Oryctolagus cuniculus: one gene and its partner. The main gene of each other region encodes a partner of the protein of the gene in region 2 in a complex. Links are inferred from orthologs where the notes say so. Each region holds a gene or a part of one and is shown on either strand. Other genes may lie near its edges. The genes, in order: FBXL5 and IREB2.

Region 1 (8,299 bases), on a different chromosome or scaffold from region 2:
AATAAAAAAATAAATTAAAAATTAAAAAAAGAAAGAACCAAAGCCGGGGGAGTTAAAGCCCTGGCCTGAAATGTCGGCATCCCGTGTGGACGCCAGTTCTAGTCCTGGCTGCTCCTCTTCCAGTCCAGCTCTCTGCTATGGCCTGGGAAGGCAGCAGAAGATAGCCCAAGTTCTTGGGCCCCTGCACCCACGTGGGAGACCCTGGCTTTGGATTGCCGCAGGAGGAAGCTCCAGGCTTTGGATCGCCGCAGCTCCAGCCTTTGCAGCCATCTGGGAAGTGAACCAGTGGATGGAAGACCTCTCTGTCTCTACCACACTCTGTAACTCTCTTTCAAATAAATAAAATAAATCTTCAAAAAAAAAAAAAAAAAAAAAAAAAAAAAAAAAAAAAAAACAAAGCCCCATTTCCTCAGAAAACACGTGAATCTTAATTCCTAATTATTAAACATAATATCAGCTATTAAAATGTCATGTAATAATTTAATCCCAAACATGCTTTACCAGATTCATCAATGTCAGCATCTTCATCCCACTCTTGAAAAGCACGACTTTCATCTTTCCTATTTTTCACCCATTCCTCATCAGGTTCAGTTTCAAGTTCAGTTGCAGGACCACTATACCAATCACCTATCCAGTGAATAAATAAGAGGAACAAAATCAGATTAGATCACCTATCTATTTACAATAAAAACCTCTACACACTGGAAACATCCAAGTTACAGGCAAAGACCAGCTACTTTTAGAAGTATTTAACTATGGATTAAAGAAAGCAAAACAAAACAAAAAACCCTACACTTAAATAAGCTAATGCTTCCATTTCAAACATAATAAAGAACTAGGACTATATATGGATTCAGTTAATACTACTAACAAATTATCAATAGTTCATATTTTCCCAAAGTAAATCCTTCTCTAAAACTGACAACAGAACTACAAAAATGTACATAGACTGCTATACCCTTACTATGTATTTATTCTCTGTATGCAATGTTTTCCAACTGTTATATTTTACAGAATAGACTTAGTGGTTGTAATCTTTTCTAGAAAAAGTAGTTATTAATGGCCCTACATGAAACTTCAGAAACCACTGAAAACAACCTAACCTTTTTCCCCTACTGTGGCTTCACCTGGCTCCTGAGACAGTCCCAATACAATGCTAGCTAGTAAACCAAAGCATATTGGACTCTAATTCAGAAGTAGGCAGGAATAGAACTCAAAGGGAAAGACTAAGGTAAAGCTAAACCATAAATAGAAATCCTGGAAAATATATTGCAACTAAACTACATTACTGTGAAAGACAATGCAGAATTAATGTATTTATTCTTAATACTACATCTAAAATAGGGATTCTCAACCTTAATATTACTGACATATCCGGCTAGAGTATTCTTTTTTTAAAAATACTTATTTGTTTATTTTTATCTACTTGAAAGACAGAGAGAGAGAGAGAGCGCGCGCGAGAGCGAGAGCGAGAGAAATAGCGATCTACTGATCTTCCATCTGCTGGTTTACCCTCCAAATGCCCAGAACAGCCGATGTTGAGGTAGGCCAAAGCCAGAAACCAGGACTCCATCCAAGTCTCCCATGAGGGTAGCAGGGGCCCAACCACTTGAGCCATCGTCCCATGACTCCCAAGATGCATTAGCAGGGAGCTGGATCAGAAGGACAGTAGTCAGGTCCAAGTGGCATGCTAAGCCACTATGCCACAACACTTGCCCTTGGCCAGAAATTCTTTGTTACAGGTTATTTTGTGGATTGTAGGGTGCTTAGCAGCAACCCTGGCCTTTACCCACTAGATGCCAGAATAAAACAATATGGGATGAACAAAAAATGTTTCCAAACATTTCAAATGTTGTGGGGAGGGAGGTGGGGGTGGCGCCGGTTAACCCCATATGGGCACCGGTTCTAGTCCTGGTTGCTCCTCTTTCAGTCCAGCTCTCTGCTGGGGCCCGGGAGGACAGTGGAAGATGGCCCAAGTGTTTGGGCCCCTGCACCCTCATGGGAGACCAGGAAGAAGCACCTGGCTCCTGGCTTCAGACTGGCGCAGCGCCAGCCGTAGCAGCCATTTGGGGAGTGAACCAACGGAAGGAAGACCTTTCTCTCTGTTTCTCTGTCTATAATTCTACCTGTCAAAAAAGAAAAAAATCAATTTGGACTGAAAACCACTCAAAACAAATCCCATATATAAAAACCATTTTTATTGGAACTCCTTGCTTAAATACATTTTTTTAAAAAGGCATATTAAAGTTTTGAGTGCATTCACTAATAGCACTATTACATTTGCATTCATATGTGAAGTCGTCTTCAATTAAGAACTCATAATTGGATACAACAAAAAAGTACTTGATGCATCTCTTATTTAACTGCTCACTCAATATTTCATTATCCTACAACTAACAGGAAAAGTTATTCTGCATAAAAAATAACGATTCTAATTATTTGGATCATATAAGTCTACCCAACACTCCAAATAGCTTAACTCAAAAATATTAAATATCTTTTTTTAAGATTTATTTATTTCTTTGAAAATCAGAGTTATACAGAGAGAGAAGGGGAGGCAGAGAGAGAGAATCTTCCATCTGCTGGTTCACTCCCCAATTGGCTGCAACAACTGGAGCTGTGCCGAACTGAAGCCAGGAGCTGGGAGCTTCTTCTAGGTCTCCCACACGGGTACAGGGGCCCAAGGACTTGGGCCATCTCCTACTGCTTTCCCAGGCCATAGCAGAGAGCTGGATTGGAAGTGGAGCAGCTGGGTCTCAAACTGGCACCCATATGAGATGCCGGCACTGCAGGCAGTGGCCTTACCAACTATGCCACAGCGCCTGCCCCTCTAACATTTTTAATTTTATATACTATTGGAACAAATAAGAACTTTTTAAAATATTCATAATTTGAATCAAACACAAAATGATGTGATAAACACATATTTCTGGGGCCAACACTGTGGCGTAGCAGATAAAGCAACCATATGGAGTGCTGGCATCCCACATGGCCACCAGTTCAGGTCCCGGCTGATTTACCTGGGAAAGCAGTGGAAGATGGCCCAAGTACTTGGACCCCTGCACCCATGTGGGAGACCGGAAAGAAGCTCCTGGCCACTGACAGGACGAGTTCATCTCTGGTGGTTGCAGCCATCTGGGAAGTAAGCCAGCAGATGAAAGATCTCTGTCCCTCCCTCCCTTTAACTCTGCCTTTAAAATAAATAAACAAACAAACCTTTTTTAAAAAAATATTTCCATGTTAAAATCTCACAAAATGGAGAACTATAAAAAAGTTAATGTAAATTTTTAAGTTAATATTCACCTAGAAAACACTTTTAATTCAGTGACAGGAGATGCCATGAGCTATGAGAATCCATGGTTGTAAAATATGCTCATGAAAAGAAAATGTTCTTTAACTATTCACATGTGTAAGTAACACACTACAATGAAATTAATGAGTTTGTGATATGAGAAATTACCCATCACAAAAAATGTTATAGACAAAAATAGATTATTTTGATTCACCACCAAGATAAGCCATAATGGTACCTCATCTTAAAATTTCATAGAATTCTCTATTTTTAAGATATTCAAAGGGCTGTCACTGTAGCACAAGAGGGTGAAGTCACTGTATACAGTGCCAGCATCCCAAATAGGTACCAGTTTGAGTCCCAGATGCTCCACTTCCGGGCCAGCTCCCTGCTAGTGTGCCTGGGAAAGCAGCAGAGGATGGCCCATGTGCTTGGGCCCTTGTACCCACATGGGAGATCAGGATGGAGCTCTTGGCTCCTGGCTTCAGTCTGGCCCAGGCCTGGCCACTGGGTCCATTTGGGGAGTGAACCAGTAGATGGTAGATCTTTCTCCCTCTCTAATTCTTTCAAATAAATAAATAAATCTTTTTTTAAAAAAAGATCTCAAATAATTTACTTAACTGTTCTGAAAATCAATTTTAAAAGTTTTATGAAAAATTCTAAACATAGTCAAATATAGAAAGAACTAATACAATGAATCTCCATGTACCCCATTACCTATCATGAACATTTATCAACATTTTGTCAATCTTTGCATTTCCTCCCCAGACTATTTTTCCTAGTTATTTTGAAGGAAACTGCAGACACCATATAATTTAGCCATGAACATTTTACCATTATTAGCTTTTCAAAAATGTATACCAAGAATTCATCACCTAACAATGAAATCCACTTTTTAGTCAACCTCTCAGTTTTCTTTCCTGATTCTGCTTACTAATGACTGCAAGTATTCACCTAGAAAAATACATCATAGTATTTTTTAAAAAAATTTAAAAGTCCCATTAACATACCTCTTGCCCAATGAACAGGGTAAAGATGTTTCCAAAGTGATCCGGTTTTTGCCAGCTGAGACCATTTCGTGCTTACTTGACTGCATCGACATAGTTCCTGAGGATTAAGATAACTGAAAATTGACAGCATTACCTCAGGAGGAAGATGGGTTATACCTGTGGAGTGTTCTGATACTTCTGCTTCTGAAATAAAAAAGAAAAAAATTATCAGTAAAGGCTTTAAGAACGCAACAAGAAATTACAACCACATTTCTATAAATAAAATCCAGTACCTGGAGTTAATTCCTTCCTGCTTGCAAGATGTGAACAGGAAGTAACATGTTTTACAGGTCCCATGAGGATGTTAAAATTGTTAAGAACCTGTAGGGTTAAACTATCATAGCCCAAATCATACTCCACCAGTGGGAGCTACAATAATGAATACACATTTGACTTCCTCTTACAAAAGCATTACAGCAAAAACAATACTCACTTTGTAGCATAAGTAGCATCATTTGGAAAAGGAACCAAACAGGTTACACAGCTTTAAATCAGTAAGTATATAGTAGGCCAGATTATGAGATCTCCAAGGCATTTTAATGACACCCACAAATCTCATATGTTCTATTCAGGCATTATGACTCCTGTTAGGACTTTCCACATGTTCCCTTTTTAATTTTCTTATTTCATATAGAAGGTCTGTGGTATCTAACTTCATTAACCTATACATAACTTACCTAAGTTATATACTAGTTGATACAATATAAATAGTTCTGATGCTGGTATACAATGAAAGGGACTCTTGTCAGCAACTACCAGAGAAACTAAGTCATTAGATGTATTTCTTACAATGTATTATTTCAGCAGCAATTTTTTGAAAGCAAATGAAAATACAGTACTAAATAAAAGATGTATACTAAATTCTACTACAAAGAATTTAAGAATCTTGTATATCATGTCTTCACAAAACGACTTAAATATAGAAATAGGATGATCAAATTGCTTTAGACTACCACTTTTAAAATGCCAAATATTTTAAACATAACACAGCTATAATTTGCTTTGAAGAAGAAAATTAAACATAATTAAGTGTGATGCTTTTAAATCTCATGTTATAATTACAATTAAACCAGATCTAACAGATCTTAGCTTGGTATATGAGGCACAAGCTGCATTTCAGAGTAAAGTATACAAACTTTATGGGCCTAATTACAGCTTAACTTACAATATTTTTGTTTCAACATGAGTTTAACCTACTTTATTATATAAAAACAAGAATAAAGGACTAATTTTAAAAAATTGTAGTCTATTTTAACAGGAAAACCATTGCTACCACCCATCAGGAAGTAAGGAAATTTTTACAAACCTGAGAATGCCAACTGTTTCTTTAATTATGTCTTAAAGGGCAAAACTATTAAAGATAAATAAGAATAAAAAATAAAGAGGTAGTCTGCTATGAAAAAAAAAGCAGGTATACTTTCAAAGTAACTGTATACAGAAAAGCTTTGTCATACTCACTCCCTTGAGTACTACTGGATATAAACATACAGAATGATACATGAAAAAGGGTAGAAATATAAGTAGTTTGCTCCTTGACTTATGATGAGGTTAGAGCACAGTAAACCTACTGAAAGTTGAAAATGTATTTAATTCACCTAATCTACCAAATATCATAGCTTAGCTGCACAATACATTGTGCTGTGTCAGCTTTTGCCTTTGTGACTTGCATGGCTGACTGGAAGCTATGGCTGCCACTGCCCAGCATCACTAGAGAGTATCATACCAAATACTGCCAGCCTGGGAAGAAACCAAAACAAAAAACGTGAAGTACAATATGCCTTCCACTTCTGCACCATCATATAGTCAAAAAAAATCATTAACTGAACAATTTTAAATTGGGGACCATCCATATGAATGATTTAGAAAATCAATGAAAAAAAGAAAAAAAAAGCCACTATGATCCATGGAATCCATAATGTTGGATTACACTATAAAAGTGCTCTGTTCATGGTGGTTTTCAATAACTTTGGTTGGCCAAATATTATTAATATTGTTTGCAAGCCAGCGCTGCGGCTCAATAGGCTAATCCTCCGCCTTGCAGCGCTGGCACACCGGGTTCTAGTCCCAGTCGGAACCCCAGTCGGGGCACCGGATTCTGTCCCGGTTGCCCCTCTTCCAGGCCAGCTCTCTGCTGTGGCCAGGGAGTGCAGTGGAGGATGGCCCAAGTCCTTGGGCCCTGCACCCACATGGGATACCAGGAGAAGCACCTGGCTCCTGCCTTTGGATCAGGCGGCCGCGGTAGCCATTGGAGGGTGAACCAACGACAAAAGGAAGACCTTTCTCTCTGTCTCTCTCTCTCACTGTCCACTCTGCCTGTCAAAAACAAAATATATATTGTTTGCATATATAAATTCATTCAAGAAACACTATACCGTTTATGACCCAAGTATATGAGATGATAAATCATAGACAACACTAAATTATAAAACAGAAACTACACAGATTGGACATTACACAATGTATACATGTACCAAAACATCATCACATGGCACACCATACATAGCACCATTTTTACACATTAAAATTTTTTAAATGAAATAGAAACTACAGTCCTCATTTAAATTTGTTAAGTGATTTAAAAGGCTTCAACTAACCACACTGTAAGCCTGAGTTAAATGATTCCTCAAACAAAATCTACAGTTCATATCAACAAGAGGTCAAAGGCCTTGAGCTAATAAAATGTTCTCTAACTAAAATGTTCTCTATCTACATATATCAATCCCACCTTTATCTGACTTTTCATCCACAGAATATTTAAAAAACTTCTGTCGTTCTTCAGCTTGATTCCATAGACTAAGTCCTCTAAGGAGTTCTGCAGTATCCTTCTGAGAGCAGTGTTGTGCAATCACTTTCTTTTTAATATCCTTAAGTTCTTCATAAGTAAAATATTCCATTAACATGGGCTGGAAAACCTAAATTAAACAGAATATTCATAAGGTAAGATAATTAATTTGTTTTGTTTTACTCTACACTCTTCATATTAGTAATGGCTCAAGTATATTATTATGACTGTATATTTCAGAGATAAAATTGCAGAAAATGTTGTCAAAAGGATCCTTTTCTCTGTGCTTTCTCCAGCTAAGTCAAACTCTAAGCAACTTGAAAGCATCAAGACCAGAGGATTCTCCTGCACTGAGTTTCATAAACAGGCATTTTTAGTGTTAGACACAGGTCAATTTACTGCCTTCTTGTACTGTAAAAACTGAACTCCACCTGTTGAAGTGAAATGGACACTATGAGAAACAGTGACTTGATCAGCTCTTGTCCTGACTGTTGATGTACAATGTAATACTTTATCCATTTTAGTATTTTCTCTTTGTTTTGTTCTAGTACTACTGGTTGAACTCTGTGATTAACACGCAATTATTCTTAGGTGTTTAAATTTTAACTGAAAAGTGATCCCTGTTAAATATAAGAGTGGGAATAAGAGAGGGAGCAGATGTACAATTTGGGACATGCTCAATCAGACTTGCCCCAAATGGTGGAGTTAGAATCATGCCAGGGGATCCCAATACAATCCCATCAAGGTGGCATGTACCAATGCCATCTCACTAGTCCAAGGGATCAATTTCAGTTCACAATTGATCACACTGATAGGTCTAAGAGTCCAAGGGATCACACAAACAAGACTAGTGTCTGCTAATACTAGCTGATGGAATCAAAAAGGGAGAGAACGATCCATCATGGGAAGCGGGATACACAGTAGACTCATAGAATGGCAGATGTCCTAAATAGCACTCTGGCCTCAGAATCAGCCCTTAAGGCATTTGGATCTGGCTGAAGAGCCCATGAGAGTATTTTAGGCATGGAAAGCCAAGACACCCTGGAAAAAAAAAAAAAAGAAGAAGAAGACCTAAATGGAAGATCTCTGCAAGTGAGATCCCAGTGGAAAGAAAGGGGCCATCAAAGAAGGAGGTACCTTTCTCTGAAGGGAAGAGAGAACTTCCACTTTGACTAT
Region 2 (8,299 bases):
AATATATTGACACATAAAAATAATCAATGTCCAATATGGTCAGTTCAAAGTTTATAGCACATCCTTAAAAACAAATGTGCAGATATTCAACCTAACATCTGCTTTACAGATATTTAAAACAAAACTAAGTTAGGTCAAAGAAGTATGTTCCAATAGCTCCAGTAAATGATCTACTCATGTTTCAAAGATTCCCAGAGATGAGCAGATAGGAAGACCCCAGGCACAAACTCGCCAAACTCCCTTGAACCAGAGACACTTCTGCCACTGGGGTTTCCAGTAAGATTTTATTTGAACAAAGCTTTCAACTACCATAACAGCTTTAAAAAGCACCAAAGAGGGGCTGGCTTTGTGACATGGTAGGTAAAGCTGCCACCTGCGACACTGGCATCCCATGTGGGCGCTGGCTCGAGTCCCAGCTGCTCCACACTTCTGAGCCAGCTCCCCACTCATGCGCCTGGGAAAGCTGTGGAAGATGGCCCAAGTGCCTGAGCACCCTGCACCCATGTGGGAGACCTGGAAGAAGGTCCTGGCTTCCATCGGGGCCCGCCCTGGTCACTGTGGCCAGCTGGAGAGTGAACCAGCGGATGGAAGATCCTTCTCTGTCTTTTCCTTTCTCTGTAACTCTGCCTTTCAAATAAATAAATTTTAAAAACACACTAAAGATACAAATAAAAAATTGCACCTATCAATATTTTACAAATTTCAGTACAAAAGCTCCCCCAAATCTTTTTATACCTTGAAAAATTGAAGCCTCTCGCGATTTCTGCCAAATTCTACTTCTTGATTTTTTAATACTGTTTCAGGTCTGAAAAGAAGAGCTGTTGTTAAATTCACATCTTACAGAAAAGCCTTGTTTCTAAGTATTTCTCCTTCTGTGTATTAAGCACTTTTTTAAAGCCTTAGAACAATTTACCAGACTTCTCAGAATTAGGGTTTTTTTTTTTCCAACAAGGAAGTTGTGCTTTAAATAACTTCCCCGACAGGCATAGAAAGGAGTTACTATTTTACTAGGTACAACAAAGCAATGTCCACACCAGTGTCCAAAGCTATACTTAAAATGCATTATTATGAAAGACTTGGCTACAAGCTCAATAAATGGTATGTTTTGTTTTCCACTGCAATTAAAAAAAAAGGAGGGGCCTGTACATGCTTATTTAGCAGTTAGCTCCTACACGGTTACACTGGGAAACGGGTGTTGATTATTGACATGAGGCAGTACACCTGACCACATTTATGGCTTAAACAGCTTTTGGTGAAAATCTTTTATTCATCTCACCCAAAATGGAGGGCTCTTTTTTTATGTATCAATAATTTTCTTTAAATGGATTATAAATGCATTTTATGTTAATTATTTCAACTAAGAGACAACAATAACTCACCTCTAAGCAGTAAATATCATACCACCGTGGGGAAACTAATTTTACCTAATAGATATTTTTTAAAAATTATTTCAAACAGCATTTATTTATTCCACCCGCCAGCTGGAGATTAGACACTGACTAAACATCAATCTAACCTAAATTACACAGGTCCTCCAGGATCTGCAGTCATCTGTCAGTATTTTTAAAGAACAGGGACAGGGGCTGGTGCTGTGGCACAGCAGGTAAAGCTGCCGCCTGCAGTGCCAGCATCCCATTCGGGCGCCAGGTCAAGACCCGGCTGCTCCACTTCTGATCCAGCTCTCTGCTATGGCCTGGGAAAGCAGCAGAAGATGGCTCAAAGCCTTGGGCCCCTGAACTTGTGTGGGAGACCCTGAAAAGCTCCTGGCTCCTGGCTTCGGTTTGGCACAGCTCCGCCCACTGTGGCCAGTTGGGAAGTGAATCAGCAGATGAAAGATCTTTCTCTCTCTCTCTCTGCCTCTCCTTCTCTCTCTGTGTAACTCTTTCAGATAAATAAATAAATCTTTTTTTGAAAAAAAAAAAAAAAAAAAAAAACGCATTGCAGGACCGGTGCTGTGGCATAGCAGGAAAAGCCACCGCCTGCGGTGCTGGCATCCCATATGGGTGTAGGTTCAAGTCCCAGCAGTTCCACTTCTGATCCAGCTCTCTGCTATGGCCTGGGAAAGCAGTAGAAGATGACCCAAGTCTTTGGGACCCTGCACCTGCTAGGGAGACCTGGAAGAAGCTCCTGGCTTTGGGTCGGTGCAGCTCTGGCCGTTGCGGCCAGTTAGGGAGTGAACTGGAGAATGGAAGACACCTCTCTACCTCTCTCTCTCTCTCTCTCTCTCTCTCTCCCCTTCTCTGTGTAACTATTTCAAATAAATAATAAAAATAAAACTTAAAAAAAAAAAAAAAAAGGAATTCATTGCACATTGATGACTTGAAGCCACAGCACAGTGAGGTTCTTCTCAGGACCTCAGGGACACAGCTTTCTGGAGCCACTGGAGTGACTTCACCTTTCCACTGCACGACGCGACACAGGGCCAAACACGCAGTGCTGAACCGGCCTGCAAATCAGGCACTGAGTTCAAGTGTCAGATGTCATGCTCGCAACGTTCTAGCCCTCAACTTCTTGCCTGAACCTACAATTAACATTTTACAGAAGAACTAAAGAACACAAAAGAATTCTTTACTATGTCACACAGCCAAGAATTACAATACAATCGTTCTTAATTTAGAGGCAACACTGAGGGGAAATTTGATTGAATTTTAGAAATGAAAATATACAGTAACTCACTCATTCTCTGCAAGTTACAAAAAGGCAACTAAAGAATCAATTATTTTTAAATCAATAAATCTTCCTTTTCTGGAATTATTTTCCATACAAAAGACATTAACCACAAAAGCAACAGGCTGCTAACCACCAGTACAAACAGGTAGCAGGAATAAGGAGTGACAACACGAGCCTGTCACAATTTGAGAGCCAAGCACAGGGATTATATCGAGTTGCTAGAAAGAGCGAGCATAGGAGCTCACTGTAGCCCTGGCTTTATGAAATACTGGAGGAGAGGGCACTCGGGGCAGTAACGGAGACGCCGCTCGAGACACCGGCATCCCACACGGGAGTGCCTGGGTTTCAGTCCAGTTCTGCTCCCTATTCACACCCTAGAAGGCACCAAAAAATGGCTCAAATACTTGGGTACCTGATACCCAAGGGAAATCAAGATTGAGAACCAGCGTATGAATGACACAAATTCACGAAAATATAAAACCCAATTGAAAATGAGATCCTGTTTTCTGCCTGCATCAGTCATAGATACAAAATATATTCAGAGGCCGGCGCCGTGGCTCAATAGGCTAATCCTCCACCTTGCGGCGCCGGCACACCGGGTTCTAGTCCCGGTCAGGGCGCCGGATTCTGTCCCGGTTGCCCCTCTTCCAGGCCAGCTCTCTGCTGTGGCCAGGGAGTGCAGTGGAGGATGGCCCAGGTGCTTGGGCCCTGCACCCCATGGGAGACCAGGAAAAGCACCTGGATCCTGGCTCCTGCCATCGGATCAGCGCGGTGCGCCGGCTGCAGCGGCGGCCATTGGAGGGTGAACCAACGGCAAAGGAAGACCTTTCTCTCTGTCTCTCTCTCTCACTGTTCACTCTGCCTGTCAAAAAAAAAAAAAAATATATATATATTCAGATACATCTTAAGAAAGGTTTGCTTCCTAAGGAGCAGAAATCAAGAGTGGTAGACTATCATTTTATTTAAGTTTGCCTCTTTCAGAAACATAGGAGATACAGTGTAAGTGCAATCTAGCACATGAGTGTCAGGGCAATGAATGCACCAGGCATCAGGCAGGAAGGGGCTGATCTCCTCAAGAGAACACCGCCTGGCACTAACATGTCGGAGAGCACGTCTCCCACTCAGGCACCCCTGCCGAAGCGCAGAGCCCCCTGCACCAATGCGTATTAACAGAGCGCTCTCATACTCAGGCACTGGCTGCAGATGGAAAGGACACAGGATGGGCGTGTTCTCGATCTGCGAAGCGAAGGCTCCCGGGTGCCGGCCCAGGTCTGCAGAGTCGCAGGGCCCTCGGCAGGCAGTCTGGCCTCTGCAGGGTAGCTTCTTGGGCTGCGCTCTGAGTGGAGAGAGCTTGCCTGCCTTCTGCAGCTCACCACCTCCAGGATTCGGCGCGTTCTGTATTGCACTGGCATGCCGAAAAGGAGACAAAATAAAACCGTTTCAAGTGACGGAAAAGTTAGGTCTTCAAATAACATACACAACATAACTGGATGATGTCTGAAAGCTAATGTATAATTTAACAAAATCAAATCTCAGATTTAAAGAAAAAAACAAACAGAAACAGGTTAGTTTCATTTATGAAGATAAAAACATAATGCTACACATTCACACTCAATTAAATCATTCTCATGTTCTATCAGCCTCAATAACTTTTATCAAGAATTTGGAAATAAATTTTTTTTCTTTCATCTAACAAATTAGGAGATGCTCAGAGCTACAGTCTAAAAACACAAGGCAAAGTCTCCCGCAGGCTGTAACACACTGGAGTCTACCTCGGTCACTCCAGGAGTGTAAGAGAATGTGGATGCCCGGCAACAGAAATGCGTGTTCTCTAGTTTGGCCTTGGTCAAGGGGCTTCAGAAACAGAACAAACCGATCTCAGCGGAAGGAAAACAGAGCTGTAGTGAGCTCAGTGTTTCCAATCAATTAATTAAAGACATGCATGGCTCAAATCCTTATTCTCTCTGAAAGGTAAGTAGGTCAAAAAACAAAAAGGAAACAAAGACTGAACTCAGATGGTCACTCCAAAAAGCTTATATTTCCATCCAATATGGCAACAAAAATACACAAGGTGATAACAGCTCTATACTCAGTCTGTGTACAAGCAACCTGGCCAATGCACTGACTTTTGTCCTCTTGTATGCTAGCACACTTTCCTCTGGACAAACCACCTCTATCCTTCCCTCCACACCACACACTCTGGTTAACTTGCATGGCGTCTTCCCAAGCATCTGTCTTTAAGTACCATTTACTGAAGTCGATCTGTAAAGAATGGTCGACTGTGAGATCTGTCGGACAGGCAGGATGCACTTTCTTAGGGTCACCTCCAAGAGCCTTCACCGCCTCCCTCATAGCAGCAAAGTCCACCATAGCTGGGATTCCACTACAAAACAAAAAATGGTCAAATCATAATATGGTTTTAATTGCTTTTTATATTGTCTAATAAACAACTAACATACACATATTTTTGTAACAAGTATTTACCAAATGCCTTCAATGTGCTAGACACCAATGAAACAAGGCCAAGTACCACATAGCTCTGGCTCTCAAGGAATCTGTAGCGAAGGCATAGCAATGCTTACAGAATAAGTACTGAGATAGTACTATACACCAGGAACCCAGAGCAGGGGCACACAAATCAGATTTGGTGGGCACGTGAAGGGAATGTTCTACCTAACTCTTAGGACCCTTTAAAACTTAGGCCAAGGCTAACTCTTACGGTGATTAATTCCAGGCAGTCTTTCAGGCTATTGTAAAGACTTGGGATTTTCTTTTAAGTCTGATGGAAGCCAACTGGTGCATGGAGGAATGATAAGGCCCGAATAATATTTTTAACTAAGCCACCCCATCTACTATGTAAAAGACAGACTGCAGATTGCAAGTGTGGAATCAAGACTACCAGACTACAGCAGCTGTCGTCCAGATAAGGAAGGGGCTAGGACCGGGTGACAGTGGTAGAGATGGTAGGAAATATTTGAACACAGACACATTTCAAAGGCAGCACTGACAGGATATGCTGACAGAATACGCAGTACTAAGCAAAGAGGAGCCAAGGCTAACTACTAGATTTTTGGCCTAAACCATTGGGAGGCAATGGTGCCGGTCAGTAGGACAGAGGGCTTAGAAAGGAACAGGTGACGTGGGCCGGGCAGTCAAGAAATCAAGTACTGGGTGGGTTGTCTGAGAAACCTATCAGCTATGTGGAGGTAACAAGCAGGCAATTAAGCAAAAATAAATAATAAATGGTTTAAGAATAAATGCTTTAAGGAATACATGTCTAGTTTCTACTGAACTGCTTCACTTTAGAAAGGGAAATTTTTAAAATTCATAAACCCATCTTCAAAATTAAAAAAAAAAAAAAAGCCATCCACCAAGGAGACTGATTTCTAATAAGGGAACAATGAAGATTCACTATGCAAAAAACTATCACTCACGTAAAATCTTGAAGAAGAACACGGGCTGGGAAAAAGGGCACTTCAACATTGCTTTGTTTGGTTTTCCAGTCTAAAATGTTCATAACATCTTCCTTTTTCATTAAAAAGCCATCACAATTTCGTACAGCAGCTTCCAACAGGACCCGTATTGAGTAAGGCAGAACATCTGATCCAAAAGAAAAGATGACTATTAGTGAGAGAACAGTCATACCTACATATTCTAAAAATCACAATAACAAAAAGATGCATTTTTCTCTCAAAAACACTCACTGCTCAGGTGAGTACACCTGGAATCCGACCCCACCCCTTGTAACAGCAGGCCTTCTGTAACTACTTCACCACACGTAAGGCAGAGAAGAAAACCTCCAAGGAACAGACGCTCTGATCTGGACCTATCGGCCTATGATCGTGAAAAATGAACAGCTGACATTCAGGGAAGACACAAAAAAACTGAAAAGCACACAATGTCAACTCAACACAATAATGAAAAAAACTCTTATTGTGGCAAAAAAAATGGTTATGCTGTCTAAATTCCATTAGGACGCTTGGGTGATTAAAATTCATTTCAGGGAACCTCATTCACTCTTGATTACTAGTTTAAGGGTATCAAGGAGACAGATTTTGCTATTTTTAAACTTTTAGTCCTATTTAATTCTCACATCAGATTCTGTCACAGTGTTTCCTCAGTACTTAAAGGGAAGACTGAGGGAATAAATCATGCTAGCTCACATTAAAGGAACGAAGGGTTCTACACACTGATAAGGAGTGATCGCCAGAATTCTGTCCTCAAGGGAAAAGCAGCATGATGGGGCCAGCGCTGTGGCATGGCAGGTAAAGCTGCCACCTGCAGTGCCGGCATCTCACATGGGCGCTGGTTCTAGTCCTGGCTGCTCCACTTCCGATCCAGCTCTCTGCTATGGCCTGGGAAAGCAGTAGATGATGGCCCAAGTCTTTGGGCCCCTGCACCCATGTGGGAGACCCAGAGGAAGCTCCTGGCTCCTGGCTTCAGATTGGCTCAGCTTTGACCACTGCAGCCATTTGGGGAGTGAACCAGCGGATGGAAGACCTCTCTTTCCCTTCCTTCTCTGCCTCTGCCTCTCTGTAACTCTGCCTTTCAAATAAATAAATAAATCTTTTTTAAAAAATCCTGTAAAGGACTTCCTTTATATATTAAAAAAAAATAAATAAAGCAGCATGAGCCATGTTCACAGTAGACCACCTTTCCTCAAGAAAGGAGGTTAAACACACACATGCAAAATAATTAAAGGGGCCAGCGCTGTGGCACAGTGGCACAGTGGTTACATAAAGCCACCACCAGCAGTGCCAGCGTCCCATATGGGCGCCAGTTCAGGTTCTGGCTGCTCTACTTCTGATCCAGCTCCCTGCTATGGCCCTGTGGGGCCTCTCCACCCACACAGAAGACCCAGATGGAGGCTCCAGGCTCCAGGCTCCAGGCTCCTGGCTCCAGGCTCTGGATCGGCCCAGCTCCAGCCATCACGGCAACCTGGGGAGGGAACCAGCAGATGGGAGATCTCTCTCCTCTCTATATACCTCTTAAAGCCGCCTTTCAAATAAATGAATAAATCTTTAAAAATAATAACAAAACATAAATTTAAAGTATACATTTACAGTGTTTTTTCCCAAGAGAACAATGCAAGGCTGATCTGAAGAACCCAGCATGTGTCCCACACAGCACTTCCGACTGGGCTCCTCAGTGAGATATACACTAAGGAAAAGAAGAAAGACTGAGAAAACAAACCACATAAAGTCGTTAGCACTGTTATTGTCCTATACGGTATAAGAAAGCAAGTAAGTATTTTTGTTACTATGGTTGGAGACAAGGGTTTCCTGAGGAATGATACACATGTACAAAATCAGAGTAGCTACGTTTAAAAAATTAACAATTTCAGTTTTTTCAATTGAAAACAAGGGTATGAACTCATGCTTTATTCTTCTCTTTCTAAAAACACACGTATTTCCTAGTTCTATCCACTGAACACACCCAAAACAATGACAACCTAACAGTAACAAACTCCTAGGGAAATCAGTTTATTGTTTGTAAATACTATTTCTCATCTAAAAAAGTCAAAAAGCTCTCAGGAGAAACGGCCAATTTCTATGTCTGGAGAAGAATGATACACAAATGAGCCCAGGACATCCTCTCTCAGTTACCAAAGACTAATGGGGACACTGCT

The links.
Region 1: the proteins of IREB2 (region 2) and FBXL5 are in contact, whole or in part, in a cryo-EM structure (PDB 6VCD), measured with the Homo sapiens proteins. The link is inferred for Oryctolagus cuniculus from reciprocal best matches to the Homo sapiens genes IREB2 and FBXL5. Residues at the interface, in NP_004127.2 of Homo sapiens: Asp89, Phe90, Ser129, Asn217, Val220, Glu221, Arg224, Arg228, Ala758, Gly759, Ser760, Arg763, Asn764, Thr777, Pro778, Arg779, Asn782, Ser783, Tyr784, Gly785, Ala786, Arg788; in NP_036293.1 of Homo sapiens: Asp656, Glu657, Tyr661, Cys662, Asp663, Asn664, Ile665, His669, Ala670, Asp671, Thr672, Ala673, Ser674, Gly675, Cys676, Gln677, Asn678, Leu679, Gln680, Cys687, Arg688, Ser689, Gly690, Glu691.

The regions. Positions count from the first base shown.
Region 1 is NC_091433.1:10,671,941-10,680,239, forward strand, and holds part of FBXL5 (F-box/LRR-repeat protein 5), read right to left. Parts: intron 7,254-8,299; coding exon 7,067-7,253; intron 4,486-7,066; coding exon 4,303-4,485; intron 628-4,302; coding exon 502-627; intron 1-501.
Region 2 is NC_091443.1:106,225,543-106,233,841, reverse strand, and holds part of IREB2 (iron-responsive element-binding protein 2), read right to left. Parts: intron 6,271-8,299; coding exon 6,105-6,270; intron 5,054-6,104; coding exon 4,916-5,053; intron 4,076-4,915; coding exon 3,857-4,075; intron 806-3,856; coding exon 736-805; intron 1-735. UniProt on the Homo sapiens protein: RNA-binding protein that binds to iron-responsive elements (IRES), which are stem-loop structures found in the 5'-UTR of ferritin, and delta aminolevulinic acid synthase mRNAs, and in the 3'-UTR of transferrin receptor mRNA.